4 linked regions of the Caenorhabditis elegans genome follow. The protein of the gene in region 4 interacts with the protein of the main gene of each other region in a biochemical or structural test. Each region holds a gene or a part of one and is shown on either strand. Other genes may lie near its edges. The genes, in order: dlg-1, mpz-1, dsh-1 and sre-28.

What was found.
Region 1: the proteins of sre-28 (region 4) and dlg-1 form a complex in vitro, tested with the Caenorhabditis elegans proteins (one study listed by BioGRID).
Region 2: the proteins of sre-28 (region 4) and mpz-1 form a complex in vitro, tested with the Caenorhabditis elegans proteins (one study listed by BioGRID).
Region 3: the proteins of sre-28 (region 4) and dsh-1 form a complex in vitro, tested with the Caenorhabditis elegans proteins (one study listed by BioGRID).

What each region holds. Positions count from the first base shown.
Region 1 is NC_003284.9:5,478,071-5,487,146, reverse strand, and holds dlg-1 (Disks large homolog 1), read right to left. Parts: upstream 7,448-9,076; 5' UTR 7,387-7,447; coding exon 7,365-7,386; intron 7,156-7,364; exon of another isoform or gene 7,045-7,155; intron 6,929-7,044; exon of another isoform or gene 6,651-6,928; intron 6,483-6,650; coding exon 6,166-6,482; intron 6,090-6,165; coding exon 5,871-6,089; intron 5,824-5,870; coding exon 5,727-5,823; intron 5,680-5,726; coding exon 5,589-5,679; intron 5,536-5,588; coding exon 5,184-5,535; intron 5,128-5,183; coding exon 4,821-5,127; intron 4,763-4,820; coding exon 4,294-4,762; intron 4,236-4,293; coding exon 3,712-4,235; intron 3,629-3,711; coding exon 3,346-3,628; intron 3,299-3,345; coding exon 3,177-3,298; intron 3,122-3,176; coding exon 3,021-3,121; 3' UTR 2,206-3,020; downstream 1-2,205. Other genes in the region: C25F6.1 (Condensin-2 complex subunit H2), read right to left, coding at 494-651. UniProt on the Caenorhabditis elegans protein: Essential multidomain scaffolding protein required for normal development. Recruits channels, receptors and signaling molecules to discrete plasma membrane domains in polarized cells. Required for proper embryonic elongation.
Region 2 is NC_003280.10:10,774,158-10,780,565, forward strand, and holds the start of mpz-1 (PDZ domain-containing protein), read right to left. Parts: upstream 3,970-6,408; coding exon 3,917-3,969; intron 1-3,916. Other genes in the region: ect-2 (Protein ECT2), read right to left, coding at 4,785-4,935, 5,324-5,453, 5,516-5,657, 5,752-5,827, 5,876-6,303, 6,354-6,408.
Region 3 is NC_003280.10:5,213,510-5,223,156, reverse strand, and holds dsh-1 (DiSHevelled related), read left to right. Parts: upstream 1-2,482; coding exon 2,483-4,001; intron 4,002-4,115; coding exon 4,116-4,191; intron 4,192-4,489; exon of another isoform or gene 4,490-4,693; intron 4,694-5,502; coding exon 5,503-5,624; intron 5,625-5,671; coding exon 5,672-5,912; intron 5,913-5,966; coding exon 5,967-6,142; intron 6,143-6,580; coding exon 6,581-6,817; intron 6,818-6,865; coding exon 6,866-7,033; intron 7,034-7,325; coding exon 7,326-7,492; coding exon of another isoform or gene 7,493-7,534; exon of another isoform or gene 7,535-8,037; intron 8,038-8,112; coding exon 8,113-8,225; intron 8,226-8,507; coding exon 8,508-8,634; downstream 8,635-9,647. Other genes in the region: C34F11.1 (RING-type domain-containing protein), read right to left, coding at 9,260-9,404, 9,453-9,647.
Region 4 is NC_003283.11:9,941,470-9,946,966, forward strand, and holds sre-28 (Serpentine Receptor, class E (Epsilon)), read left to right. Parts: upstream 1-2,923; coding exon 2,924-3,396; intron 3,397-3,539; coding exon 3,540-3,696; intron 3,697-3,882; coding exon 3,883-4,005; intron 4,006-4,052; coding exon 4,053-4,177; intron 4,178-4,221; coding exon 4,222-4,426; downstream 4,427-5,497. Other genes in the region: fipr-12 (FIP (Fungus-Induced Protein) Related), read left to right, coding at 1,870-1,883, 1,933-2,143; nlp-58 (Neuropeptide-Like Protein), read right to left, coding at 5,172-5,369.

The sequences.
Region 1 (9,076 bases), on a different chromosome or scaffold from region 4:
AAAGAATGTAAACTTGGTCAAAAAATGACAGTTAAAATTTTCTTTTTCAAAGTTTTCAAATAAAATTTAAAATTTCTGTCTAGCCTTGGTGAAATAATACAATGAACGTTTTCTGGTTAAAACTGCTCTTATCCCACTAATTTTTTGATGGGAGCCATTTAAAGCTTGTTCAAGAAGCCTTTTTTAGAATTTTGGTTTAAAAAACTTTAACTGAACACATTGTGAAGCCTAAAAATGTTTGAAGTATTATTATAACATCCTTTTGGATATAACATTTCCAAAGTTTTTTTTATTTAAAAACATTTTTGTTTTTTCCCTGCAACCGCATATAAATTTTTGTTCAAATATTTTTAACAGAGTGAAAATTTAATATCACATTTTTGGACCACAATTTTGGACATACTTCCACATACTGGTTATTTTGGAATTAGAAAATTTCTTGAACGTTCAGAACAATTATTATTAAAGGATTATGAGCTAAATAAAACATTACGTCAAATCATCCTCTTCTTCGTCACTTCCTTCCGACTCTGTGGCGGAATGTGCGAGCACGTCATCATCGTGAACCAGTGGAGGATAAACCGGTCGTTTTGGCATGTATTGATTAAATGCTTGCACTAGTTCCTCTTGTGTCATTTTCATTTTTGCCATGGTTGATCTGGGAAATTTGTTTTTGAAGGTATTTACGAATTCAAAGAAGATATACACAACTACTATATTATTTTGAGATATTCATTATTCATTTTAACTTTTTATTAAACATTATTTTCACTAAGAAATTCAGTTAGTAAACCAGTAAACAAACATTACAATAGAATAAAATTAACTGTCTCATTTTCCAAAAAAAAAAAAACGAATAATAAAAAATAAAGAACCGTCATACAAGTTGGGAATGCAAACAAATTTGTGAGAAACTAGTTAAGAATATCCGATAAACTTTAATACGTTCATAAAGCACGCACGTTCACACGGAAAAGACGTCAACCATCCTATTGACGCGTTTTGTGCGCGCACACGAAAAATTGCATGAAAGGGGGTCACTGACATGACCTAGCTCAATTATTTTACCCTTTATTTTATCTCAATGGTACTATGGTAGAACTGAAATCTTTTAAAGTTATTTAAACCGTAAGCGATATCATACTATTGTTACAGAAAAATTAAAGCGTGAACATAAAAACAATGAAACACATTTAATGAGGCAGAAAAGAGTAAAACAAGTAACTTTGCTATGTAAAAATAAATTAAAAATGAGAAAATGAGGAACTATTCTACAATTATAAACATTCATAAATTTAAAATCAAGATATCAATAAAATAAAAAAGATTGCTCCCGGTGAGGCTCGAACTCACGACCTTCAGATTATGAGACTGACGCGCTGCCTACTGCGCTACGGAAGCACTGAACAACGTCTGCAAAGTAGGATCAAAAGAATAAAAAAATGTTCTTAAATTCGAGCCAGTCTGTGTTTCAAATTAACAAAATGTGAGATAAAATAAATTGCTAGCTTTGACTCAAATTAAAAAATGAATTTAAACAGTTAAATTAAAAATTAAATTAAAATTACAGTTTTCTTCATGGCAACTTATGCTACTTGGGAAAACTTCAAAAAAAAAATTGCTCCCGGTGAGGCTCGAACTCACGACCTTCAGATTATGAGACTGACGCGCTGCCTACTGCGCTACGGAAGCACGTTGTGAACTCTTCACAAAGGACTTGAGAAAGGATGCAAAAACTGAGATCCCAAGTGGGACAGGGATTTGAAAATATCACAACTGTAAATAGTCTAGTTGAAAAATCTCAAATTTAACTCATAGTCAGTAATTAAAATATTATTGATATTTTAAAATCATTCTAATCTTATTTTGCGTTTAAAATACATGTTTTTTTCGTTAATTGAAAGACTAATAAAATATCAGGAACAATATTTCAGTCGAAGAAATATATTAGGCAAAAAAGATTGCTCCCGGTGAGGCTCGAACTCACGACCTTCAGATTATGAGACTGACGCGCTGCCTACTGCGCTACGGAAGCACATTTCGAAACGGATTCTGAAGAGTACTTCAAATCCTTTTGTTTCGGAATTTTTCCAGCGATCTAATAAAATGAATATTTTTAATGACAAATTGCCGCAGTCATTTTCAGAACACCCTGATATACTGAAAATAAAGTTTTTTCTTGTTACTTCAACACATGTATGTTTTGCAGATGCAATAAAATCTTTATTCAAGATAATTTGTATAAAAAGTTTTTAAAAATAATTAAAAAAAAAAAGTTTGGAACCAATGGATGAAAATAAAATGCTCTCAGAGTAATAAAAGTCCCAAAAAATAGAAATGAGCCGAAGTTTTTCATCAGTAGAGAGTCGGGAATATGATAATGATTTGCGGTTAGTAGAGACAAATGAAGCGTTGAGAATATCACAAACTGTCACAATTTCAAGTAAGAAGTGAATTGAGTTGGGGGAGGAAGGAGAGGGAAGAAGGAAGGAAAGCTGGGGCGGATTATAAAATGCAAGTATTTGTAAGGTGAATTTCAAGATAAAATGGGCTGTAGAGAAAACAGGCAGTACAAACTATCGTAGTAAAATATTCGGAGACAAAAGTAGAAACGATTCACCGTTTTCTGGCAGTGATTGTGGAGAGTTATGATTGAAAATGAAAATAATGAGCAAGGTAAAAGAAAAAAAGAATCAGAAAACTATTGAAATATTGGCCTTTCACGTTTCTGAGTTCGAGTAGTAGAGTTTCTTGAATTGAGAACTTGGAAAGGTCATGTAAATTAATGCATAATAGGGAAGGGGTACTAAACAAAATACAAATAAAGATGGGGATGGAAACAGGATAAAGCAAATGACATCAAGAGTTTTTTCAAAGGATCACTTTTCTCAGATTAAAAAAAAGTATCACAACACGGCGTAGTCTAATTATTAAGGTAAATTAAACTGTATATTAATTAATTTCAAGAAGACATATTTCTTGAAGAAACGATTATTTGTCTAAAAAATATCCAATTTCATCTAATGACGTGGCACCCAAATTGGCGTCTGCGATTCACGGCTGATGATGGAGTACACTTTGCTCAAAACGTCATTCGCGCTGTGCACATTTGAGATTTCTTCTGAAATAAATAAAAAATCAGATATTTGATAATAATGGTTGGAAAAAAGACATACGCGTGAACAAATCCCCGAAAGTTTGCTCAATTCTATGACATCTGGAATACTGCGCTTGAGCTTCTTCGCCACTCATCGCTCGATCGTCTTGTCGGTTGGTGGCAAGTTGGCTGTCCAATTCACTGAAATTTTGCAGATTGATAAAGCTTCTTTTTACAATTTAACTTACAGAATCTGTTGTGCAGAGCTGGGCTTGATGAAGATCGAGATTGGTTGAATATTGGCATTGCTTTGAAGTCGTCGGATAGCATTTCCACTGACGTCCAGAATACAGTGTCTTCCTTGGTTGGCGACATCTCGGACGCTTTGAATGCTAGTTCCGTAGAGATTGTTTTGGAATTGTCCCGCTTCAATGAAGAGATTATTCTTGACATCTTCCTCCATATTGTGCTTGTTGACAAAGTAGTAGTCACGTCCGTTAACCTCTCCCTCGCGTGGTGGTCGGGAAGTGTCTGAAAAGGGTATTATGAGTATATTGCACATACTATTTAGAAATGTTCTCTTTTTTAAAGTAGTTAATAACTTCACAACTTACGTGGAACGCAGCTACTGAATTTCGAAGGGTCGCGGTTGACAAGTTCATCGTTGATTCGGTCTTTGAGAGCTCCAAGAATGATCACTGGACGAACGTAGTTGATCGCCTGTTGCTCAACTGCCTGGTAGGACCACACTGGCTCTTCAGCTACATTTGAGGATTCCTCATTAAGATCGTTGAGCCGGTCGGTACTTTTGACGAATGGGAACTTTCTGGAGAAGGAAAGCTGACTGCGGCTTCCTCTTCGGTTTTCCAATCCAGTAGTGCTCGAGTTTCTTCCAAGAGACTGCGATCCCGAGTTGAAGTTGACTTGCTTCCGACGAAGTCGTTCTCTCTTCTCGACACGTTTCTTTGATGGAATCACTCCTTCAGCTGTTTCTTCTCCGTTTTCGTGAACTTTTCTAGCTGTCCACCATTCATCGTCAGATGAGTTGATGATATGTAGGATGTCACCATAGTTAAATCCCATTGATCTATGGGGAGCAACAGAGTTTTCACGTGATGGATCATAATCGAAAAGTGCTCTGAAAGATGTTATTCGTTGATATATGTATACATTTATAAGTAAACAAATCTTCTTACCTAACATATTCAGACTTTCTGCTCAAAGTTCCCATTCTAGATTGAGCAATCACGTCGTTTCTCAGCTTCTCAATTTTGGACTCAAAAATTTGATACTCTTGTGGTCTGTACTGAAGAGTGAGATAAACGGGATTTCCAGCGTTTCTCAATGCTTCAGCTGCTTCCTTATGGGTTGCATTTCTCAAAACAACTCCGTTCACTTCAAGAAGAACGTCTCCAGTCTTCACGTTTCCACTAAGATCAGCAACACCTCCTGGGAGAACAAAACTGATGTAGATGGGCTCATTGTCTTCTCCGCCAACAATGTTGAATCCAAGTCCATTTTGGCCCTTTACAAGTTGTACTGGACGGGGTTCGAGTGGAATTGCGATGGGGGCTTGTGAACTGTAGCTGGTGTTCAGTGGTCCTCCGTAAGACAAATGACTTTGAGATCCCATTTGAGAGCGGTTGTAGTCTTGAACGGAGCTAGCTGAAATGAAATTAATTAGAAACTATATTATTATTTTTGATTCTTGGGATTGTCTTACGTCTGAGAATTGGGGTAGTTGGCATGAATTGTTGGCTCGCCGAGTCATTGAAAATTGCCCCAGTTCCTTGCTGAATAAGAAGTCGAACACGATTTCCAGTGTTTTTGAGAACATTGACCGCATTTTCATGAGTCGTGTTAATCAAAGAGTGATGATCAACTTCAAGAATCTTATCTCCGACTCTTAATCTTCCGTCTAATTCAGCTGCTCCCTCCTCAATGATTTTCGTCACATAGATATCGGTATCTCCTTTAACGTGCTCGTTTCCTTGACCACCAGCAATAGAGAAACCAAGTCCACGTGCTCCCTAAAAAAAGTTCACATAGATTCTTTTGTACTTTGGAAAGAGAAAATGTCGCCAACCTTAACCAGATCAATGACGGATGTATTCGGTCGTGTGGAACGATATTGGCCAACAGATAATTGGCTCAATGATCCGTGATGAACTGGTGGTGGCGGTGGTGGATGAATCGGAGCCGATGGAGAATGAATTGCGTGTTGCAAGTTGCCGGCGCTCACTGATGGAGTGACTCCTGATCTGAGGTAAGAAGTCGACCCGCCAAAGTTTCCTCCAATTGGAAGAAAGGCTTCATCTTTACGCCGTTTCAAACTCAACGAAACAACGTTTCCGGAGCTTTTCAATGCGTTGACTGCAACCTCATGCTTCACATTTTCACAGTTTGTATTGTTGACTGCAGTGATAATATCATTCTTTCTAAAAAAAACATGACCATAAAGTTCTGTTCATCTTAAATTGCGGTTTTTTACCTCATACGCCCATCAGCAAGTGCGGCACCTCCTTCAATAATATTGGTGACATAGATAGAAGTATCTCCGTCTTCTGTTGGTTGGTCCATACCTATAATCAGATATGTTACATCATAAATACCGGTTGAACGCGCATACCTCCAGTAATCGAGAATCCAAGGCCGGTGTGACCTTTCTCCAAGACAATATTCTCAAGCTCCCATTTACGACCATGATCATCGATAACTCCAGTATGCTGAATATATGATAATTAAAACTAATATTGAGCCAAAATTATCTTACTTCAACCACACGTCTTTCAAGACCACTTGGAGTGTCAACTGTTCTTGTGGTTGTTTCCCGCCATGTTCCATCATGACTGGTCTGACGTTGACGCTCATGAAGGTAGTGAGTGCTGGATGAGTTGTACGGAGAAGACAGAAGTCCGTTTCCAAGTCCATTCCCAAGCCCGTTTCCAAGGCCTCCGCCGTTCAAATACGAGAAACCTCCCCGATCTCTCAGCTAAAATAATTTTTTTTATAAAGTATTAAAAAAATCTAGAATCCAAATCCAGAGAAAAAAAGAAAGCAGAGCTTACATCTGAAATAAGTGGAGTTGTGCTTGAAAGGTTGTAGTTCGACGTGGAAGTCGTCGCAGCCGGACGACTGTTGTAGGAGTGTGGTCCACCTTCGAGTCGCTCAATCACACGCCTTACTTCCATATTTTTCTCTGCATCTGATTTTCGCTCGCTGAGCAGCGTCTGCTCGTACAGATCGTGAATGTCGAGCAACGAATGCATCAGGTTTGATTTGAATGTGGTGATAACTCGTTCCAGGTTTGTGCGTAGCTCCTCATTGCCGTGTCTTGTCAGTGTCTGGCAGTAGTCCTCCACATTTTCTATCGCTTTATGCGCTTCTGAAAATACAGTTTCATGTTCAGTTATAATTGTTGTAGGATTATGCACATCCCAAGTCGCAAAGTGTAACAAGTCTAGGTTGATGACTCATTTTGCGGCAAAACATGGTCAACAAAAAAGGTTATCATGCGCTTTCTTTCCCATCCCGGCAAATAACGATGAGTCACCCTGCGAGGATGCGCAATCTCCCTCGTTTTCCCTCCTTTCTCCCCTTTCCCTTCGGAATGTACAAGACTGGCCCCGGAAAGATGTCTCCGATGAATAAAGGGGAGACTCCTGGTTGGACTGTCGGACACGTACACACACCATCACAAACAGATTGTTTTCTCTTTGCCCTCTTTCTTTTTGCCTTCTATTCCTCCCACTGCGTCTTCTTCGCCTTCTTATACAAATATAATGTTTGCACATTCAGAGACGCATCCTCACCATCATGCGCGCCAGAAAGCATTCACCTGGCGGGGAGGAGGAGGAGGCTCCGAGTAGTGTGAACTTTTCGAAAACGTATATAGCAAAATTATTACGTATATGTGTATGTGTATCGAAATGTGTAAGTGTCAACACCACAATACCTCATGAGGCGGGGTGGCCGTATTTGGCAGTTTCGAGGTGATAAGAAGACTGTTGAGATGCGATCATCGCATTGAAGTCATAAGAAGGCAGGGAAAGGGGGAGCGTAGAAAACGCAAGAATGTACATAAGTTGGTGTGTTGCCTTGGCTAATTCTGGTCATTGTGACATTGAGTTTAACGACCACGGCGACCGTAGGAAATGGGTTCGGTGATAATTGGTTAGGAGAAAACTGTGGCAAACAATTGAGATTAGTGGACATTGAACGTTTTGCAAAATAGAAACAGTTTGAAACTTAAATGTCTAGAACTCACTTTCCGATGACTCGTGGGACATGCTTCCTTCCTTCGGTGAGGCGTTCTTCCCACTCCGATCGGTTTTCTTTCGATGCTGGTCGCTGAAAATTGAAAAAATTAAATTGATCAACAAGTTTTTGAGACTGAAAATAGAAATAGACGACTGGTTTTAATGCTTCTAATAATCTAAAAACAGAGCTCGGTAAGAAGGAGGCATTGAAGACGAAAAGGAAAAACTGTGCGGCGATAAGACATAACTTATCAGAAAGAAACAAGAATTTACGGCAAACACACGCACACACACACACACATACACACAAGCAGGCCGCCATTGAGTTTGTTTTAGCGAACTTGATGTAAATAATAGAAACAAGATGCAGAGCAAAACGAGCAGGGGAAGGAGTAAATGAAATTTTTTGAAAAATCTAGGAAGATTCATAAATCATAATCCATCGTGGATAGAAAAATAGAAGGATATCCCGTACATAGAAGATGGAAGACGCTAGGTTTCGCATTTCACTTGTGTCGAGTCATGGATATGTTTATTTTTTGTTCGGCAATTCCCACCAACTATTGGTATGATTCAGTAGGTTGGATGAGGGGGAAAAATATAAATATTCCTCTCGTCTTCCTCCGGGCGGGTCGCATCTTACTCTAGATTAGTATCTACCAGAAGGGAAGACTGTGTGTGAGAGATCTGATAGATATGCTTGAGTAGAAGAAGAGGTAAAAAAGAAGGGCGTTTGGGTATAAACGGTGGGGGTCTTCAACGTTTATTGGACACCAACCACCTCCGCCGGTGGTTTTATTATAGACGCGAGGCGACAAACCGCACCATCGGAGAGGGACCTGGTAGGAGGAGCGGGGAGTCGATTGTTTTGAAAGGTTGTCATCTAATTCAAAAATTAGTAAACTATTATTAGGTATTTTTATCTTTGGATATTTTGTAAAATTCTGAATTTAAATAAAGGAGATTAAGTTCGGAGGGTTTTGGCTCCCTGGAAGGTTTCATAATGAGTCCTGAAAAATAAATCCAAAAATTTTGGATTAAGTTTATTTAAATTAACATATTCCTACAATTTGTCTTTATCACAGATGCCAAAAATATATACAAGCCAGAAATTTTAAATTGTTACCACCCCATCACGTCTCTTTAAGTTAAATAGTTAAAATTATCTTCGCTCTAAAATGTATGTTTCATTAGAACACTAACAATTTTATCTAAACAAAATGGGGGTTTTATTAGAAAATAATGCCATAAAATTGTATAGTTTGAAATTAATGGTCACAGACACGTCTGCAAATTTGAGTTCACAAAAAATATATTTCAATAGCCACTTGATTTCCAAAGAACTGAACAAAAAACAGGAACAAGTCGACTTGAAACAAATCACAGTGTCGAAACATAAATGGTCAAGATGAGAAGTGGAACAGACCCGGCCAGCATAGAAAAAACAACACTAACTTATGCGTCACGCTGTGTGTGTGTGTGTGTGTGTGTGTGAAATTATATTCAACATGTACAAGCCAACGGGACATTAGTCACGACATGCGGGAAGAAGATAGCGAACGTCGTCTATTGTACCAAAAACATGCCGGGAACAAATGCGCCAAAAAAGTTGTGGCGAGGCGAATACTCTACTACTATTTCGAAATATGGAATTAAAAAAGTCATATTTTTTTCTATTTTTTTAAAAAGGTTTTTTTAGTGCGCCTTGACTGTAGCGATT
Region 2 (6,408 bases), on a different chromosome or scaffold from region 4:
GTTCCTCAAAAAAAAGTTACAAACAAATTTAAAAGTGATCCGCCAATGTGTAAAGTATGAGAACACAAAACCCGATTCATTGCTCCGAGGAGCACTTTGAGGCGGAAACCAGGTTAAAAATAAAATTCTTAGTTGATCCGGGTCTAGTCACGTAGTCTCAATCTCCAATTTGTACCTACTTTATGCCTGCCTACCTATGTGACTGCCTACCGCCTATTTTCGATGCTTTTGTGAGTTTTGATTAGAAAATGTAGGCACGAATTTGGAAAAAATTGAAACGCCTGAGAAAAATCAATTTGAAAAGATAACATTGAAAGAAGAAGCTGAAGCTCATTGAATCTTTCAATCGTTGTCAATGACCAGCATTTGATAGATGGAAATATTGTTTGATTGGGAGAGACGGCAGACATTTGATAGAGCATCGTAAGAGCACCAAGAAGAAAATTTGAAAATGAGAGTTTATAATATTTCGAATATTTCGAGCAATATGGTGTTAAAATATTGGTGCTACTATTTTTTGAATTTTTTTTCCAAAAAATGATATTTCAAAAGGTTCTCCAAAAAGAAACCGAACATGTCCAGACATCAATAAAACGAAAGAAAACTACGAATTGCATGTCCAGTTTCATCTTTATTTTTCCTACGGCCGGAAAGGTTGAGTGAGAAATGAACGGGCGGACATTTGAAATTTGAAATGTCCAATGGAGCTGTTGTTGGAAATATTGGAAACAATAAATAAGGGAAAGGGACATTGAAAAATGAAAGAAAAACGAGGATTAGGAAGAAAAGACGAAAAATGAAATATGAAGAAAAAAAGTGGAAATGTGAAAAAAAACGAAGGAATGAAGGCGGAGAAGATGGAAGATGAGGAGGTCGAAAAATGGAAGAATAAACACTTGGGCATGATGGATGGAAGGTTCGTCTTCCAAGAAGTTTCAGTAGAATTGTGTGCATTTTAAGAAAAAAATGTTCTGGAATATTGAAAATGTGTACAGTAAGACTGGCATGATTTTGGTGTACGTAAAGTGTACGTCCGGTTTTCCAGCAATAGTGTACAGTAACCATCCATAACCGAACTCATATCGAAACATAATCTACCAGTTTCGAGCTGATTATCCAAGGTCTCAAATCATCGAGGCGACCAGCTTCTTTTTTTTTCAAAAAAATCTTTACTTAAAATTCACATTTTGAAAACTATCCATTTGTTGGAAAAAAGCAATTCGAAAAATAGGCCAAAAAATCCAAAATTAGGGCAAACCTGAAGGTGACCTCTGCCTGCCTCACGCCGAAAACGCCTACGCATGACTGTTACGCCGACATTAGTTGTAGAGAACAAATTTCTAGGGATAATTGATAAAAGTTCTTTGGGGAATTATTAAACTTGGAGGCGGAATGAAAAGTGCTGACAGCATATAGATATTTTTAAAAAATGTTAAACAAAATACTGTACGACAGAAATGGAAAAAATTGTCATAAATCAGAAAAAACCAGAATCTGGAAGTACACGACGTCTATTTTTCTATTCCTCCCCGGAGTGCGAATGTGATGCATTTGTGTGTGTGTATTTCTCTCCATGTGTGTGTGTGTGTTTGTGGATAATTGAGCTATCGTCTTGCGTTGGAGCAGAAAGACGAAAAGAAGAAGAAGAAGTAGCAGATGAAGAAAAGAAAAGGAGTTGGCGGCGGAGGAGCTGCCGCGGAGTAGACGGACGGAGAGGAAGAGTAGGCGTGCTCTGTGTTGGTGGCTAGTAGCATCTTGAGAAGAAGAAGAAGAAAAGACCAGATTTATCCGATTGATACGGGTGAGAAACTGGTGAGAATCGATGTCCTGTGGAAGCCAGGATTGGTTTTTGAGAAGTTAGTTACATATTGGGTGAGAAGGTTCAGGTGGAAACACCCGTCTTCGCGTTCTACTGAGGCGCGACAGAATGTCACCCGTCACTCGCCTGTAAAATGCCTTCACAAAAAAATGTAGCCAAGCTTAGAGGAATGCGAAAATTCTAATTACTTGGGTGAAGCCTGTAGGTACCGTATGGTAGAAAATAGTATGACAACCCTAAATCAAATCTATTGAATCTTTTGTTGAAAGAAAACAAAAAGATACGGCAACTTATAATATTATTTTCCAAAACTATAAACAATGAAGCAACTGTTCGGAAATATTGTTCTTCCAGAAAGGAAAACGGGAAAGTTTAGGTTTTCTTCCAGATGATGAAAGGTTTCAGGTAAGCTCCCGGAGCCCCGATGCCAAAGCGTTCGGATTGTTATCTCAATAATACGGTCCTTGGTCTCGACACGACAATTTTTTCAAATTCAAAAAGGTATGCGCCTTTAAAAAGTACTGTAAATTCGAACATTTGTTGCTGCGGAATTTTCATCGATTTTTAATACTTTTCTTTCCCATATATACATTGTTACAGGCGTTAAAAAATCGATCTGCAATGAGAAAAGTTTGTGGCTACAGTACACTTTAAAGACGCATACCAGTCTGAAATTAACAAAAAAATTATCGTTCCGAGACCGGGTACCGTATTTTTGGAGTAATGGGGTTATTCAAGTAATGTAGCAAAATGTATTAAAATACATTTGTGACGTCACAAATGTATTTAAATACATGTTTTTATATACTTGAATAAGGTTGTGACGTAATTTTTCTACACTTTTTAATTTTCCGACACTACTTGAATAACCCCATAACAGTTCTGTGTACAGAAAAATCATTATGCTTAAATCAAGTTTCTATTTTTTTTAAGTTTTTCTGTTTTTTTTTATACTTCCGAAAACAAAAGCGAAAAGGTGTTCTAGCGTAGTTCCCAAGAGTCCTTAAATTCATCTTTCTCCTTGTCTACTTCAACTCTTCCGAAACGGATGTAACATTGAGCCGGCTCCGGGACCCCCGCCCTTCTCTATGCACCTTTTTTCCCACCAAACAACGTCCACTTGGCACAATGCTATTTGTATAGGAATCAGGGAAAAGGGCTTTTTCGAAAACTTTTTCGACTTAGTTTACTTTTTTTTCTTTTTTGGGGGTGCATGATGCTTCAAGTCATGATGCACCATGTCTATAATATGAAGAAAAATGAGGCAAGAAAGGAGGGAAAGTGTATTAAAAGAACAACATATGGTAGTGGTACTACACAAAGAAACATTGGAATAAAGATGGGACCAAGGAAAAAAACGAAGAAGAAAAAAGATGAGGAAAAGTATAGAGGAGATGCATAATTAGAAGAAGAAGCAGAAGAAAAGGAAGACGTCTCCTTCTGGACGGGGGGACACCAAAAATGGAGTACAAAATGAAGGGTCTAACTATATTATTGAGACATTGCATTTCCTTCGTTCTATTAAAATATATTTTCCCCCTTTTTTTGCCGCAGCTTTTTATAACCAAACTTATAACCAGCTTTATTTCATCAATTTTAACATACAAATAATTTTAAAAAAACAGCCTAAAAACGAAACTGGCGAAAATTGACTGAAAATGTTCGAATTTCTAGTTTTGCCGCCAATTCCTAACGAGACCCAACGTTTAGGGGCGGGGCGTTTTAATTTGGCAGTGGAGCGCGATCGTGCCCCAAATCAACTGATAAAATGTATGAGAAAGTTTTTCAAACAGTCTCTTATTATCCAATTGCGAATTTTAGCGATTTTCCCCAATAAAATTTGGAGGCTGCGCGAAAAGTGTGCGCGCCTTTAAATTGTACAGTAACCCAGCTGCGGCGTTTTCCATTTTTCTTCGATTTTATTCACTTTTACCAGAAGTTTCAGTTTTGTTTCTGAACAAAAAATATTTTTCTAGCAAGAATGTGTGGAAAAATCCGAGAAATTATCGAAATAACGGGAATCTGCGGGTTATTGTACTTATTAAAGACGCACATCTTTTTTCTCGCTTTCGAATCATTTTTTCTTTTCAGACCTACCTTCTTTCGGCTTCATCTTCAACTGCTATTATATCCTCTGGCTCATCGATCATTCAATGATGTATTCCAGATTCTGAATCACAATTAATTAGCTCGAATTTTAAGAAGATAAAAAAAATTTAAAAATCTGAATTTAAAATATACTAATATGCAGGATCCTGGCCAAGACGTGTTTCGGAATGAATGAATAAAAGCCAAGCGGCATGTGCTCCAAGATATGAAATCTCCAGGGGCCATCTATAAGGCTCCGCCCATGTTTCCTTTTTCTCACTAATCTCATCTTTGTTTCTTTGTTTTTAGAGAGTTCAAAGACTTAAAGACAAGTAGGGTGTAATTTCATTTGAACCCCCTATCGCATTTTCTAACAAGAATAAAATTTGAATTTTCAAAAAAAAAGAAAAAAGTAATCGTAACGTTACTGTGGGGGAATGACCATTCAAATGAATGGTGAGAATAAAAGGGGAAAGGGGTATCGGATAAGAATGGCATACAAGTGATTTCGGGGAAATAATAAAAGTCAAGGAGCAATGGTCACACAAGCCTCGGGGACAGGAAGATGATAATGACGATTTGGGGGGAAAAATACACCTGTGGTAAATGGTAAATCAGTATGATACAAAGGATCTGGTCGTAGTTGTGGATGGTGATTACGGTAGTTTCGGTTGTTGTAATTACAAAAACGAAATGAAAAACTACGGGTGAAAACATGAAAAATGTAAGAGGGAGGGAGCTGAGAGCAAGCAAGAAATAAACCATCAAAATACACCGGTGAGCATCTGGAGGTATGAAGCTCGGAAAAGAGTGAGAACGAATTATTTATCAGTCGGAGGAGAGATTCGAGTTATCAGTTACACGGGTGCGGGGAGTTTCAGATATCGGTGACACGATATGAAGATGTTTTTGAGCGAGGTAGTTCCTTTTCCGAATGAGCAAATCCGGTAGCCTGACGGCGCATCGACGTGTTTCGTCCGAGTATGTTGTGTCGGCCGCCGAGGAACGTTGTCGAGGTGAGGCGAGAACTGAAATAACTAACAGGATATGTTAGATGTAGAGTGTCAATTTGGCATTAACTCATGGGAAAATATGGTCAATGAATGAGGCAACACGCCTTCAAGATCCGGCCGAAAAGAAGATCTACTAAAAGAAGATCTACTAAAAGAATATCTACAATGTGAAGATCTACGGCTTCAGGATCTGGCACCGTGCCAATTAGAAATTTTCGTGGTTTTCTCGAAGAAAAACGTGACAACAAAGGAGCATCATTGTTAAGTTTTTCTTCGATAAAACTACGAGTATTTCTAGTTGACACGGTGCCACATCCTGAAACCGTAGATCTTCAAATTGACTTTTCGGACAGATCTCGAAAACGTGTTGTCTCCGATAAATCTGTGGGGTGCATTGACGTACCGAATTCCTCGCTTTGGCGTCGATTCAGATTCGCTTTGGCATCCAGGCAATCCGCCGACTGACGTCATGTTTGCGAGAGCTGCTGGATCACACGAAACTCTGGGAGACTGCAGAAATGTCGTGTTCTCGTCTGAAATTAGTGAATCAAATACAATTTCAGAAGAAAAAAAAATAAATTTTCTAAAAACGCACTAATTTGTCCCAAGTTATTTCGACTCTGATTTCTGCCAAAGCCCAGCGTGGTGGCAAGTGTGAGTTGAGCATTACTGAACGCTCGTCGCATTCGACTCTGTGACTGTGGTGGTGGCATAAACGACTCATTGTGTGACCATTCCTGTAATAAAAGTTTATATATAAGCATTCAAGTTAGGTGTAACACTGTGGACAATTTTAATTTCTCCACTCATGTATCAAACTTCATTTCTCACGTTTTGTGTAGATCGTTCACTGACCGTAATGTTCATCTGACTGCCGTGTCCATATTGTGGTTTCGCTCCGCAAAGACTGAAATTTTGATTTTTTCTAAAGACTTGAAACCTGAAATAAGCCTACTTTCTAAAGTATCGAGTTGTCATATCCGAAACCATCGCATCGTTGATCTCATTCATATCTGATGGATCCGACGAGTAGAAGAATCTCCCACAATCACTCAAGATCTTCACATGAATATCGTCGAGAAAATCTCGAACCTCTTCATCATCATTCGATTCGAAGACTGTGTCAATGTCACCACCTTGCTCGTCACGATGAATCAGGCACCATACAAACACATTTGGCTTTGTGCTTCCGTTCTGCTGCTGCAACTCCAGACACTTCGCAATCTCGTCGGGAGCACGAATTCGGAATGCACTACGCATCGTGTTCAACTGTATCTGGTCAATGTACCTGTAGGGGCGACGCTGTCTCGAATGTAAACTGGCAAACGACGCGTGACGAGCTAGACGTTGCATTGTATTCTTCTCGCTGCGTATTTTCGTGATCTGAAATTTCAGAATTATTATTCAAAATAATTATTTAAAGACTCTCTTACAATTAGCACGTCATGAAATAAAAATAATTTCATTTTCGCAAACTGCTGTAGACCT
Region 3 (9,647 bases), on a different chromosome or scaffold from region 4:
TAAAACTTCCCCTCATAAAATCTTGATCACATCATTTCAACACTTTCACCCCATCATGTCCTTCCGTTGATTTTCATGTTTTATGTTGGTGTTAATGAGCCGATCTCCCAGATCACTTCTCATAGATCATAAAGAAATGAGAGAGCACAGAGAAAGGACCAATTGTTTCAATTCTATCTTCTGGGCTCATCTTGTTGGCTGGCTGCCAGTCAACCAACCAACACACATTTCAATGAGTGGAGATCTCCTCCTTCTTTGCTTTCATTCAATGTTTATACATACATTTCATTTCATTTCAATTTAATCACACACACACACATACATATCGATGATTTCCCCAGTGTGATTACGTGGAATTAAAATCACATAATTGTGGTTATTACCTGGTAGCTGGGTGTATAAATCAATTGAAATTCTCCCTTTTGTGTACAACTTCTTTTCAAAGTATTTTAGTTCATTGTGTTTTTCTGAAAATTTAATCTGAGGAGCATATTCTCAAATTCTATAAAATTCGTATTTTATAATCTGTTTTAATTTTCCTCCAAATTAGAAATTCATCCAAACTCTCTTTTGTTGAAAATTAAAAAAAAAGTATTTTGTTACTTTTGAAACAAATAGATTATTATTTTCAGGATATCTAGTTGCATTGAAAGGCTACCCAGCTGTTTTATTTCAAAAATTTTTGTTCTGAAATATCTGACAATGACATCTGAAAATGGTAAATTGCGAACAAGTCACAGCTAGTTTAGTTTAGCTTCGACATTAGAGAATAAAAAATTATTAACCAGATACCAAAAATATCTCTTTGCGACCTTAAGAACTGTAGTGTACGGTAGAATTTGTAAGCATTGTTAATTGGAAAAATATGTTCTTTGACATCCAATTCTCGATCTTTTGTAACATTAGTCCTTGAACTTCTCTGTTAGGGGGTCAACCGGGCTCCTTGCTTGCTCCACCACTTTTTGTGAGAAACCGTTCTCTATATCTCTGTGCTCGACGTCAGTGGGAATGAAAACCCGAAGACCGATGAGTTTATCACAGTGTTTATCAAGATGCTTTCCTTCTGTCTCTCTCTCCACTTGAACACTCTTCTCGAGACCTCATACCACTTCACCCCACTTTTAGTTAGTTTTTTTTGTCCGCTCACTTGTCGATTTCTGTGTATGTTTCTACTTGTCACTATTATCGTTTTTGTGTCGAAATAGTCTCTAGTACCCACCCCAGGATCTCATAATATTGCTCTCATTCTCGTTAACACGAAAATAGATATCTGCCTTATAATAGTGAGATCTGTGGTTTTATTTACTTTCGGATATCCCTCACTTGTGATTTCTATCATGATACCTATCGGGATTTTGGGGAGAAAAGACAGTTTGATAATGATCTTTTCTATGCTTTATCCGCTTTTCCTGCCTCCGATCAATGTTTGCTAGCCCATGTGTGTAGGTGGATTCAAACATTTGATTTTATACTTCGTCATCATCAAGAGCCATTGCAACATGTTTCAGTGAGATCAATTTGCAACTCTTTGTTCAACTAGTCATGATGAAAAATTTTCGATCAATATTCTTTAAGCAACTGCCATTTAATCTGACCATAGCAAATTGTGTTTTCCTCTGGATCTCTGCGGTGTTTGACTGTGAGCCATAAGTCAAGTTGCAATTTGTTGATATAAATAACTGATAGTGAGCTCTTGGTTTTAGTTGTCATGTGCCATTTTCCAGCCCACCAGTTGAAGAAATTTGTTAGTTGAGAAATGGTAACACTTATTCTGAAGCTCTTTTGCGAAACGGGGAAAATCTTATTAATTGATAGCCACATAGTTTCGACCGAAACGTATTGAACTATAATTTTAATTTTATTAGATGTATCAGTGAATGTTAACGATTAATTAAATAAAAGTTAAATGAAAGCAAACATTTGTCTTTCAAAATAACATCGAGATTTAAGCGTATAAAAACTTGAGTTTTTTTTAAATTTTTCTACTGTTATGGCTTGAATCTTAACAAACTCATAGACCAATTATATTATATTAAAATTATAATATCTCAATCTTTGCATTTCTCATTATATAGGAATTTATCAATTTTAGATGTCACTATCATAGTCGAGTCAATTGAGATTTAACATGACATATGTCAAGTCCGATTAAAGTTTAACGACAGTGTTTATGGTGTCAACAGGATTATTTTGAGTACCAACTTTCCCGATGTGTCGACTATTAAATTCTCAGTTTCTCTCTAAATTCCCAGCACATGATAAAAGTAAAACGAAAGTATCTGTTTCTAATCCAAGTGCATCATGAGCCACAAGATGGGATGCTGGGAAATTTATGACCCCCCATCGAGGTGTGTTTCTCGTTTCTTTCTCTTCTTTTTATTACCTTCAAGCTTTTTTATTACTTCCCAGCTCTATTACTATCAAAAACTTAAAACCGATTTTCTAGAGAACGACACGATTGCTCATAGCTCACTAGCGAGCAATGAGTATCAAGCTTGGAGCTCGAGATAGAGCCCTTCCATCTCCTTCTGGCTCCTCAAATACCCCATCCACTTCATCTGATATGATTCGCTCATTATTATTCACTTCAAAAGAACGAAAAGTCCGTTCGACATACACGGCTCCTCCACCAAATCGACAACACTCGCCGGGAGTTGTATCACAATTGATTAACAAGATTGAGTTGAAAACGTCACCTACAAATACATCGTCAAGACCAAAAAAGAAGAAAAAGGCTCCACCACTTGCTAAGATTGATGATCTTGATTTGGTTGATGATGAGAAAACTATCGTCTCGGAAGTTGTAAAAAGTCCAAGAAGGAAGAAATATACAGGAAATCCATTAGGAAATTTGAAAATTCTGAACAACATTCTCCCTTCCTCCAAAGCTTCTGATGATAAGGAAAATTCAGGAAGCCAGCAGCAACCAAGTACGGGGAAAAAGTTGAAGAAGAGCAGAAGTAAAAGTCGTGTGGAGCCGGAGTCTGAGGCACCATTTCGATTAAAACGGACTTTAACTGATCTCACAAATAATCATACACCTGCCGGATCCACATGGCGACAGATGGTCTCAAATGCGCTCGGTGGTCCACTTAAAAAACGGCTCAGCGAGGGGGCTCTCCTGTTTCCCGGCACCAGCAAAGCATCAGATGATTGTAACGACGAAGAGGGGGATAATACTAAGACGACAACGAAGCGCAGATTTTTACAACGACGGAAACAAAGCGAAAAAAGTGCAGGAGGCGCCAACGGAAAAGAGTCCGGTGGTGGTTCCGCCTCTTCATCGTTTTTTGGAGCTCTTATCAGATTGTCCCACTCGGCTGCAAGTTTAACGTCTTTAACTTCACTTGGTGGTTCAAAATCTCGGTCTGCATCTCCATCACCATCAAGTTCTCGATCTAATACTAAAGAATTCAAAGAGAATCTGAGCCCACCTCAGCCACCACCACCGGATCTCATTGCACCAGCTGCAGCATTAGCCAGACCAACTTTTTCCCTTGCGGCTCCTGATTCCCCTGTTTCACTTGCTCCGCCATCTAGGGAGCTCAGAAAATCCAAAACGTGTCAAATAACCACCGATCGTCCACCTATTATTCCTAGTATTACTATATCTGAAAGTCGAAGTTTGAACCGAATCGATAGGTGTCGGCCGGTCACTGTAGATGGAAGTGGTCTATCATCTGATTGCCGACCTCTTGTTTCACGAAGAAGCACAATGAGCCGTACAATGTCACTGATTCCAACTAGTCCATCGCTTCCGCCACTTTATGAGGAAGAAACAGCAAGTACAGCGGCAATGGTGGAAGAGGAGAGAGCGGATCGAGCACAGAAGCGCAGAATGCGAAGGTACGGCGGATCAAATACAACAAGTACTTATCAAGGAAGGAAAGATGTTGCACCGGATGCTTCGCCGAGAAGACATCTTATTGGATTTCTACATAGGACGTCACATCTATCCTTAACCTCTGAACTTAGTGCAGATGCATCGTTTTATTTGATCGGTAGGTAAATGATGGCGAAAAATGATGTGATCAAGTAAAGGGTAATAGGTTCAAAAAACAAAATCTTATGAAAATTTGAAAAAGCATCGAATTCTAAGTTTTCTTAAATTCCAGGGCACCGACGACATCTCGAAGAATCAACAATTGGCTCCGAATCCGATGCAAGAGTATTTTCAGATGATGATGATAGGTATGTTTTTTTTTTTAATTTTATAAACATAGGTTTCATTTCATTGAATTTTTATGTAAAGCCAGTACTCTGGTGACAGTGTTCCTTTCAAAATTTAGTGTATTTTATTCGGCAAATTTTTATTTATAAAAAATTAAAGCAAAAGTTTAAGTTATAATAGGGCTACATTCAGGTCTTGCAGGGCTATCTCAAGGAATATGCAACATTGAAAAAAATTTACATTCAAAATATAACAACTCATAAAAACAAAACCAAGTTTACGAATAGGCAATACCCCTTTGAAATTTTAAATTTTAAATATTTTCAAAAATTCGATGGTTTTCATTTTGCCTCTCAAATAGTTAATACCTTTTTTTGTGTCTTCTCTGTCTGTCACATAAAGTGACAAATGACTAGGCTTAAAGCGGGCCTTCATCCCCGCTCACTCTGCCCCCAATGATTTCGCCCTTCCGCTCCTCAAATAGTGAAATGAGCGGCTACATAACTGACGATGATTTCGCAAGCTCTGATGGTAAAGCCTATTATTCAACAACTTCCACTTCAACTTCTGATTATTACTATGCAATTGGAACAGCTCCGCCGAGCAGCACGGGTGCCACAACTCGCGACGTGTCAGTTCATTTATTCTGCGATAAGACACAGCTCGTTAAATTTGAGCAATTCCTGCTTGGCGCTTATCTTCTAGCTAAAGCCTGGTAGTGACTATCACAACAAGCTCTTAGTGTTGTGCACTATTTGAAGGAAACTAATAAAAATTGGGGAGGGGAAGAAAAGGACGTGAGAACGGGTGGAAAGAGATGGATGAGAAGTGGATAATTGCTTTCGATAAATCTTTCAGTTCTTTTCGGATTTTGTGGAACAAACTTCTAGGTTGTAACTTTAAGGAATTTGAACATTTTGTTTTGTGCAGTGCTCCGCTTATATTTAGAATTTCACGGAACACAATTCTCATTAGTTTTCCTTTTTTAGCTAGTGAAAACCATGTAAAATTTTAGTTGATAACGTTCAAAGTTACTCACGAGTTGCAAAAATCACTGAAAACCACAGTAAGATTTTCAAAAAATTATGAAATTTTTATTTACAGTCCAAAATGGAAATTAACCAGTTTTCGCTTATCATAAATTAATAATTCGATTTTAAAAAATTTCTACAGTTTTTTTTTAAATTTTAAAATCATTTGTATTTATTTTGTGGGGCATCGAATATGCAAAGCTTCTTTAAGTTTCTCAATAAGACTCAATTTTCAAAAGTTGGACTGAAAATTCTGAAAAATCTATAACAATTTCAACTATAAAACGTTCAATTTTTCAGAGGCTCTACAACAACCGATTTCACATCAGTATCCCGACAACATGAAAAAATGGCAAAGAAAAAGAAGAATAAAAGAAATTTCCGAAAACCCTCTAGAGCATCTTCGTTTTCAAGTATCACAGGTATGACCTCTTCGAAATTAGCATAACTTTTACCATTCGAATTCCAGAGTCCTCTATGAGCCTTGATGTAATAACAGTGAACCTCAATATGGATACAGTCAATTTCCTTGGCATTTCAATTGTTGGTCAAACTTCTAATTGTGGTGATAATGGAATCTACGTAGCAAATATCATGAAGGGAGGTGCAGTGGCATTGGATGGAAGAATTGAAGCTGGTGATATGATTTTACAAGTCAATGAGACCAGCTTTGAGAATTTCACTAACGATCAAGCTGTTGATGTGTTACGGTAAAAATTATTATTTTTTACTGAGAGCTTATTCTTCAACATATGAATTTTCAGAGAAGCTGTTAGCCGTCGTGGCCCCATCAAATTAACTGTGGCGAAAAGTTTTGAAAATGGGCAAAGTTGTTTCACAATACCAAGGAATAGCAGAGAAGAGCCTGTGAGACCAATCGATACTCAAGCATGGATCCAGCATACGAATGCAATGAGAGGAATGCCAAGTATAGTTGAAGGTATGGTTTTTTGATTGGAAGTGTAGAAAAACTAAACAAAATACCTGCCTGTTATTTGATTGATCTTTTTATTTTTTGCAAAATTATAAGCTGCACTCTCAACCTATTCAACTTCAGGCTGAAATTTATTCAGTGCATTTCTTCGCTACTTTCAAGTTGATGTTTTTCAGACTTCTGATGTTTTAGGATATTTTAAAGTAGAACAACATTTGGAAAGCTTTTTGGAATTTTCAATTTTTTTTTGAAACAAAAATAAAAATATGAAATTTTTCACATCTCTAATTTTGAAGGCTGAATGTAAAATTAAGTCAAACCTTTTTTCTGCACCAAAATTTTGAAAACAGGTAGGCAGGCAGGAAGACAGCCTCGATGTTGTTTTTTGTTCTTCTTCTACGTTATTCTCCTACAAATATCTATTAATTAAAAAATTTTTTCCAGAAAGTGCACCGACACCAATTCCTGGTGAATGGCCTCATGGTCGACCGCCAAGCAGCTCAACGGTGACCTCAAACGGATCAAATGGTCAAAATACAGTAGTCGGCGGCGGAGCTCATATTATTCTTGATATACACACTGACAAAAAGAAGGTTGTCGAAATAATGGCTATGCCTGGCTCTGGTCTTGATATCAAAAATCGAACATGGCTCAAAATTCCGATTCCCATGTCGTTCTTGGGTAAGTTTTGAATGAACGTGTAGAGCCTATTCTAATTCTCAATTTTAGGATCTGATCTGGTCGAATGGCTTTTGGATCATGTTGAAGGGCTTCGAGAACGGAAGACAGCACGAAACTTTGCGGCGGATTTACTGAAATTAAAGTATATTGCACATGTGGTGAACAAGGTCACATTCACTGAGCAGTGCTATTATGTCCTTGGAGATGAGTGTTCAGGTAGGAAAGTATACATTTATTCGGAAAATGTCAAAGTTTTTGTATATGAAGATGGAAGTGGGTCTTTTGAAATCTTTAATGCAATTTTTTTGAACTGAAATGTTAAAAATTTGTTTTAAAAAATTATTTTTTTCAAATTATATTTTTAAAACAAATTTTTCACTGATGCACAAAAATGTCTGCCTGTAATCTCCATAGGAATGCAAAAAAGTTGGTTGCATTCAAGGCTGCCCTGCCTGATTCAAAACATGAAATTCAACCCTTCTTGTTATATCTTCTAAATTACTTCCAGACTATGCCCGATTCCGAAATGAAGATGGTGGACCCAAATACCAATGGACCATCGGAATGAACGGAATGTCTGCTGGCAACGGAAGCTCTGTGATGCTCCCACCCCCACATTTACCTGGAGGTATGGCTGGCCCTCCTGGAGCTTTTAAAGGGATGGCTCCGTCAATGGTAAGCGACGGCGAATCGCGCATGTATGTAATGCACATTTAGAATGTCATCATTTTTCTTCATGTTTATGTTTCATTATGTCTGGTAATCAATGCCAAAATGGCATAATTCAAAATAGTTTCTCTCACAGTACACCATGTACCCGGTATTACAATAAGTTCTAATTTAATATTTTGTAACTTCTAAGTCTCCAATCATGAATCAAAATTTCATATGTTCCCGGTGATTGTAATTTTGGATGTTTTTCCTTTATTTGATTATTCTATTTTTGAATCTGTCCGTCGATTTTTTGTTGCATTTCCTTCTCAAATTCACACGAATTGCGATCTTCTTCACGAGTTCCCCACATCCTTGTCTGAAATAGATGCACCCTATACTAAGAAAAAAAACGTCTTGTTTTCTATTGCATTTGCCCTAAAATTATTGTTTATATTCGATATCATTGTTATTTTCTCGCCCCCTCATTTCTCAGTAGCATGTAAATGTATCAGTCCAATGTTGCCACCCACAAGAATGACAGAATAATAAATAATATTCTGAATCAAAAGAATGTTGTTATATTTCACACCACACGAACATTGCAAAGTGAGAAATATATTATTTGAAAAATATATAAACAGGTAAGTGGATATGCATCAATGCCGGCTTCACCATTCCCACCAGCTCAATTGCAGCAACAGAGAAGAGAAGGAAGTACAACCAGTGGAAGTAGTGGCGGTGGAATTAGAAAACAGTGAGTTTTTCCACTATAAACATACAAAGAAATTTTTGTATTTTGTAAAGATATATAGCTTTTTTAAACATTTTCAAGAAAAAAATAAAATTCAAAACCACACCAAAAGAACTTGTTTCTTAAGTTGGAAAAAAGTGAAAAGTGTGAGGCACTGGAAATTTAAAAACTTTCGTCTGAATTTCTCTGACTTCAAAAGTTCCAATTTTATATAACACGGTAGACTCTAACATTTTTGACATAGTTTTTCGAAATAACTCCCAATATAATTTTAAAATATTTCAGACGAGTTGTTGTTCTTCCCAGAAAACCATCATCGTCTGCAAATGTTCCATTTGATGATAGTTCTACAATCTATGAAGAATCAAATAATTCATTTCTTATGGCAACTGGACAAAGATACGAGTATTAACTGTTAATATTAATTCAATGTTTTGGTGCTTACTTTTTGAGCTGTATAAAAACTGTTATTTATTCAAGATTTTTGCTTATCCGCCGCCTTCTTAATTCTTGTCGCGAAGGCGGTTCAGTGGAATGCTTATTTATAAACTTCATTTATTAACAATACTTTATTTATATATTATCATTAGCAAATGGAGTTCACTTGAGTAAATTCAAAACTGATGTTTCTTCCACAATTTCCTCCTTATATAGACATCGGATATGACTTTTCACGTAAAGGTAGCAAAGGTTGTTCCACGGTGTTATTGGCAGTTCAATTGCATCCTTTTGATCCTAGAGTTCCTGTGTGAAAGGGTTTCCTTTGTTGTTGTAGACGTTTGGCCATGTTGGAGTTGCTTGCAGGGTGGTTCCTTAAGACGTGTCGCCGCTCGGTGGAGTGAGTCGAGTGCCATAAGCCGGTGATATAGTCCTTTTATATTCTAAACAGAAGTTAGTCGAGAATAGGAGAGGTTCATTCTGTCCGTATTTGCGACAAGTCTTACTAAACCCCATGGAAGGCTACGCGTAAAATTATAATCCTGTACAATTAAAAAAAAACTTCAGTAACAATAATTTATTGTATTCATGACATAAGTCTATGGACGGTTTTGCTTCTGCCTTTTCAGAACTTCAAGAGTTGAAATTTTGACAACATCTGGGTTGTCTCTGTGCAGTTTCCATTCAAATCGACATAGTGGGCACGCCTTCGATGCAGACGTATCAAACCATTTTTTCACACATCTGGAAACTGCCTAATTATAACATCTTCAATATCTCATATTAACTCACTTTTTACAGCCAATGACTTTGAGGCATTTAGGACATCCTCTCGGATCAACGGGCTTCTCAAAGCAAATGGTGCATTCCGAAGTTTGTAGAGCACTTCCTCGGTGACGTTGATATGGTGCAAATGAAGTTGATGCCGAAGTATTGGTGAATGGTGGATGACGAGTTGCCGTCGAAGTTGTTGTAGCACTCCGTGAC
Region 4 (5,497 bases):
CTGCGAAGGGAAGGAATTTTCTGAAGATACATAATTCATTGTTGTCTTCTGAACATCCCAGATCTTGTAAAAGTTGAAACTCATAAATCCCCAACGGAGCCTGGAACTGACTAGACTTGTTATAAAATTAATTGCTTGGATGAACGTATCCATTTTTAAGTTTGAAATTTCAAGAAAAGATTAACAATGGAATCATTGATTAAGTTTTCGTCAGTTAAAAATCAATTGAGAGCACAATTTTTAGTAATATTTGTCTTTGATTTTTTGAAGAGAACACGTTTCCGGAGTGGAGGAAGACAGAGAATAATGGCCAATGGATCAAAAAATGGAAATGCTGAAAGTGCCAATACTTCAAGATAGTTAAATCCTCTGTAATATTTAAATTATAGCCAAATGAATCCGGATATCTTGATTTACCTTCCAAGATTAATGTTGAAAATTGGACTGAACCAACAAAGAATACATGGGGAAAAAATGACAAAAATCGGTATAATTGTCTGGACAATTAAAGCTTTAAGAAGAGCTTTTTGAATGGTTGTTGTGGTTTTACTCATATGTAACGTGTTTTCGGTCAGTTTGCTCATTGTCTAAATAATCAGAATTGAATTAAATTACTTCAGGATTTAACTAACCAAAAAGCCGAAGATTGCATATAAATCAATAGAAAATAATGAAATTCCTGCAACTGCTATCCAAGATCTTATGATAACGTCGTCTGATGCTTCCTAGAAACAAGATAATTGGTTCAATCTGTTGTGGTATGAAGCAGGGGTGTGCGGCAAATCTCAAAATTTGCCGAGCTCGGCAAATTCGGCAAATTCGGCAAATTTGCCGTGCTTAACAAACTCGGAAAAATTATATATTTTTTGATATTTTTTGGAGCATCAAAACTACTGAATTCTTAACACACCTCTGGTTTCTGAACAAGTTAGGTGTAGTGTGTCTGCTTAAACATCAAAATAACTCAATTTGTTGTCATTTTACTAAATTTTTGGCGAAAAAATCAACAGTTTTAGTCAAAATTGTACTGTCAAATTTTTGACGTGTGCGGCAAATTTCGAAATTTGCCGAGCTCGGCAAATTCGGCAAATCTACTTTTTTGAAATTTGCCGTGCTCGGCAAATTCGGCAAATTCGGCAAATTTGCCGCACACCCCTGGTGTGTATGTCCTGGAAGTTTTGACGATTTTCAGTTTTTGGGAAAATTGATCTTAGAAAGAACTATGAAGAGCAAAGGAAGAAGTTGTGAAAAAAAGACATTACTATTGGTACGACTATGGTCACAATGGAGTAGAATATGTTGAATAGTGCAAAAAATAGCAGAAGATATCGATAATGGCCAAACTTGTTTGATTTTTCCGTAAACAGCAAATACACAAAAATTGGATTTATTATAAATGCAAAGGAAGCAAAGATTTTTGGAATATAGTGATGAGCCCAGTTTATGTACATTTTGATGATGGAATGAAATGAGAAATGATGATGTGAAAACAATACACCTATAGTTTTTAGTTTTCTGTTTTAAAATCATGTGAGCTGACCCTAGAGATTTAAATATAAACTAGAATTCTACCGGAGGCCGAGGTTGGCAAGAACACAAGAGTCCTGAAGTTGGAAAATAAGTTTGATTAATTTCGGAACTTTATTTCATTTTGCCATTCCAATTTGTTCTCATCATTGACTCATTTGAATGATTATGAGCTGCAAATATCTAAATGTAAATTGATTCTTGAACAGTAAGTCAACCAACTTTGACACTTTCTGCCCGAAAAATGGTAAAACTAAAGCAAATAGTTAGGCAGTAGTATAAAAAGGTCTGTTCTCCTTTGTTCAAATTAAGAACTCGTCTATTCTTCTGATTATTTTAAAAATGAACGCTAAATTGTAAGTAGTTTTCAATAATTTTATAACTTTCAATGCAACCAATTTTCAGCCTTCTCTGTGTATTGGCTTTTGCCATGTGCTCAATTGTTCAAGAAACAAGTGCTCAATACTATGGTTACTCTTCATATTACCCAACATACTATGGAGGATATGGTCCCGGAGCATATAATGGATACTATGGTGGAGCTTATGGATACGGGGAATATGGATATTATGGAAAGAGAGAAGCTGGATTTGGCCCAACTCAGCAAACCAAATAATTCTGTGTTTCTCTATCTTTCAACCACAATAAATGGATAAACAACATTTTTAGTTTGCTTCTTAAATGAAAATTTATAATAGTTTGAGTACGAAACCGTAAAAGGTCACAAATCTGAACATTTTTTGACTGATCAACAGCGAGAACCACCTGCTTAATGGAATATAAATCTATAATTTTTGAGAAATATTTGCATATATTATATAGGTTCAACAGAAAATTAACAACAGAGGAGCTTTTCGAACAAAGAAAAGAGTCGATCTGAATTTTTTCAGTAAAAGTCTTTGCCACTTTCGAAGTCAAAAAATCACAGAACTTGCGTAAAATCCTAACTTTTTGCAGCTATTCAATTCGACGAAAATATGCCTAGCTATTTAATCTACTTTTTTAAATGACATGGGTTTGTAAAAGTTTGCTCACACACTCACAGAGCGTCTTTAGCTACGTGGCCTAAAAAATGTAAAAGCTCGGCCAACAATTTATTTTTGATTTGTCAAGTTAGATCTTTCTGAAACTTGCCAGCAATGACCTTGAAAGGGGCTTCTTTACTTAAAATGAGAACAATTTCGAGGAAATAATCTTTATTTATTGTATAAGGGTGACCGAGGGTTTTCATATCATGACGTGATAAAATCGCTCCGTTCTGCTGAAATTCAAAAATCGTCCCGCTGGCATTCACATCAAAAATTCTGATACCAAAAAAAAACAGGAGAGCAGGTGAAAATCAAAGATTGTCTTTATTCTTCATAAAGTTTTTCTTGTTCATTATTCAACCCAAGACATGATTTTAAAATTGGAGAAAACTCCAACGGATTCTTCTTATTTCTGGTTACCTGTTTATCTTTACAATGAACCCGATATTGTGAGAATTATAGTTTCAATAACTGAACTTATTTTTTATTTTTTCGCTTTTTATATTAACAGCGTTTGCCTCAAAGTGTACCTCAAAATACAATTGTTTCATTATAATTTTATAATTTTATCAATTCCAATGTTTGGACTTTGGTACGAGGCTATTATTGGGAAAATGATTGTAATGCTGTATAATTTAAAAATATTGAAAGTTATCGATCATGAAATATATTTTTTTGCTTTATATACAGCTGATACTGAAAAAATGTTAGTTGTCAAATCTATCAATGGACTTGAAATGTTGATTTTGTCTGGTTTTATTCAGTGGCATTACATATTTTCAATGCTTTTTGGTATTCTTGCAATTTGTATTGAAAGAATATTTGCTTCAATGTTGATAGAGTAAGTTTCAAGTATTAAATTGTAAATTAATGTACTCTATAATTATAACAAGTAATTAACATAATTCTAAAACGTTTTTAATAATTTCACACACGGAAAAGCGTTAATTTGTCAGAAAAAGAGATTTGAAACTAATTTTTCAGCAATTACGAAAAAAGTACACAAATTTGGATTCCTGTTGTACTCATTGCAATAACACAATTTTTTTCAATTACTGTTGCATTGGGAAATCTTTTTGAAATAATTGGAATACTCGCATTCAATGGTTTTTGGATATTCACTGGAGCAATATCAGTAATTGTAAGTTGATAGTGAGTAATTTTTGACGTTGGAAAGTTTGAATACTTTTTGCTAAAAAAACTGCATTCGTGTATTTTAAAAATTGTCTTCTACAATAGTTTGATGGTATTTTTTAAAAGAGAAGAAAATAAAATAAAAAAAGATTGAGTAGATAACATTTCAACAAATTCTGGCTACTATTTCCAGCTTCATCTTGTCATCAAGAAAATAAATAACGACTGGCAATGTGAAATGGAAAGCCCGAGACGAAAAAAGTTCTTCACTATTTCCCAAAGATTTCAAGTGAAGGAGAATTTACGTGCTCTACGAGTAAATTCAAATTTCATTTTTGAAATCAGTTATAATCTTCTTTTCAGGTTGGCAGGAGATTGGTTATATCAGTTATTGTGACTGTAGTTGTTTGTGGTGTTGGGATTATTGCGCTCATTCTTGAAGTGGTTCCACCATTTTTATGTCATTTTGTTGAAAACTGCATTTACCTGTGAGATTTTTATATTACAATACATCCACCTTTAATTTTTTCAGAAATCCATTCCTTATATGCACAGTCACAATGTACAGCACTCATGCGTGGAGAAATGAATTTACAAAATATTTTCCGTGTTGTCGGTATTTTGGAATTGCCAAAAAAGTGAAGATAGCAACAGTTCTGTCAATCGCGGATTCAAGAAAGAATACTGAAATTGAAACTCAAACTTACTTCAAAATGCTCAATGACTCTTGGGTTTAAATGTTAATCAATATTTATTCTTTTAATTTTTCCAGCGATTCATCAAAGTGTAAATGAAAGTAGAAATACACTTGTTTAATGAATACCAATTTTAAAGAACAATTAAACACGAATATAATTTTGTGATTTTATTTGTTGCGAGCACTGTACTGTACTTCATATCATAACAGATGGGTGCACACCAAAGTTATATAAATGTATTCACCGGCGACAAAAAACATGTAAACTTCACTACACCATCCATCAATTTCATGTTTGGTTGACAAGTAAACAACCAAAAAAAAACTATAAAAAGCTCCCTTCTAAAATGTCAATAAAGGACACTTTTTCCCGTCACCTTATTTTTCTCCTTTGTCTTCCCAAGCCGACTAAACAGGAACAATTTGCATAAATGGTGCTTTTGAAGAAGTACTTGAAACATCAAACAACAACTCAGATGACTTCATTTTCAGAGTTATGAAATAAAGAATTTTTGTGAATGATTGGGTCATGATGAGAATGATACAAGAATGCAATCATTCAAACTAGAAAAAAAACGAAAAGAGTACGGGAGACAATAAAAAAAATTTAAGAGCCGGTTGGAATCAGAGCACACATTTCAACGTGATGGTAAGTTAATCTGAAAATTGAAATTATTTTATCTTAAAAAGTATAACAATACGAACAAACAATACAATTTCAAACTTACCACAAGCACAAAATACAGAAATTCCTCCTTTGCTGGTTGATATTGTTCTATTTATTTTTATTGTTCCTCTTGTCCATCAAAGATACGTGCACGTTTACCCCGAAGTCCTTTCAAAGACATCATTGGCACTCGTTTGTGATAAGTTGGATCCCTCTTTCCGCGTAAACCACGAAGGCCCGGGAATGCGTAAGCTTCACCTTCAGAAGCTGATGATGGTCCACTTCGTTTGTATTGAGAAGGCCAGTATACTTGTGCCTGTAATTTGGATACTATACAGTTTATTACTGCTTCACTAGATTTACTTTTTGACTTTACGCGTGCGCTAAAAGTTTACTATTAAAAGTTGGCAAGGAGAAGAAATGCTAAAAACATCACCTCCGAAG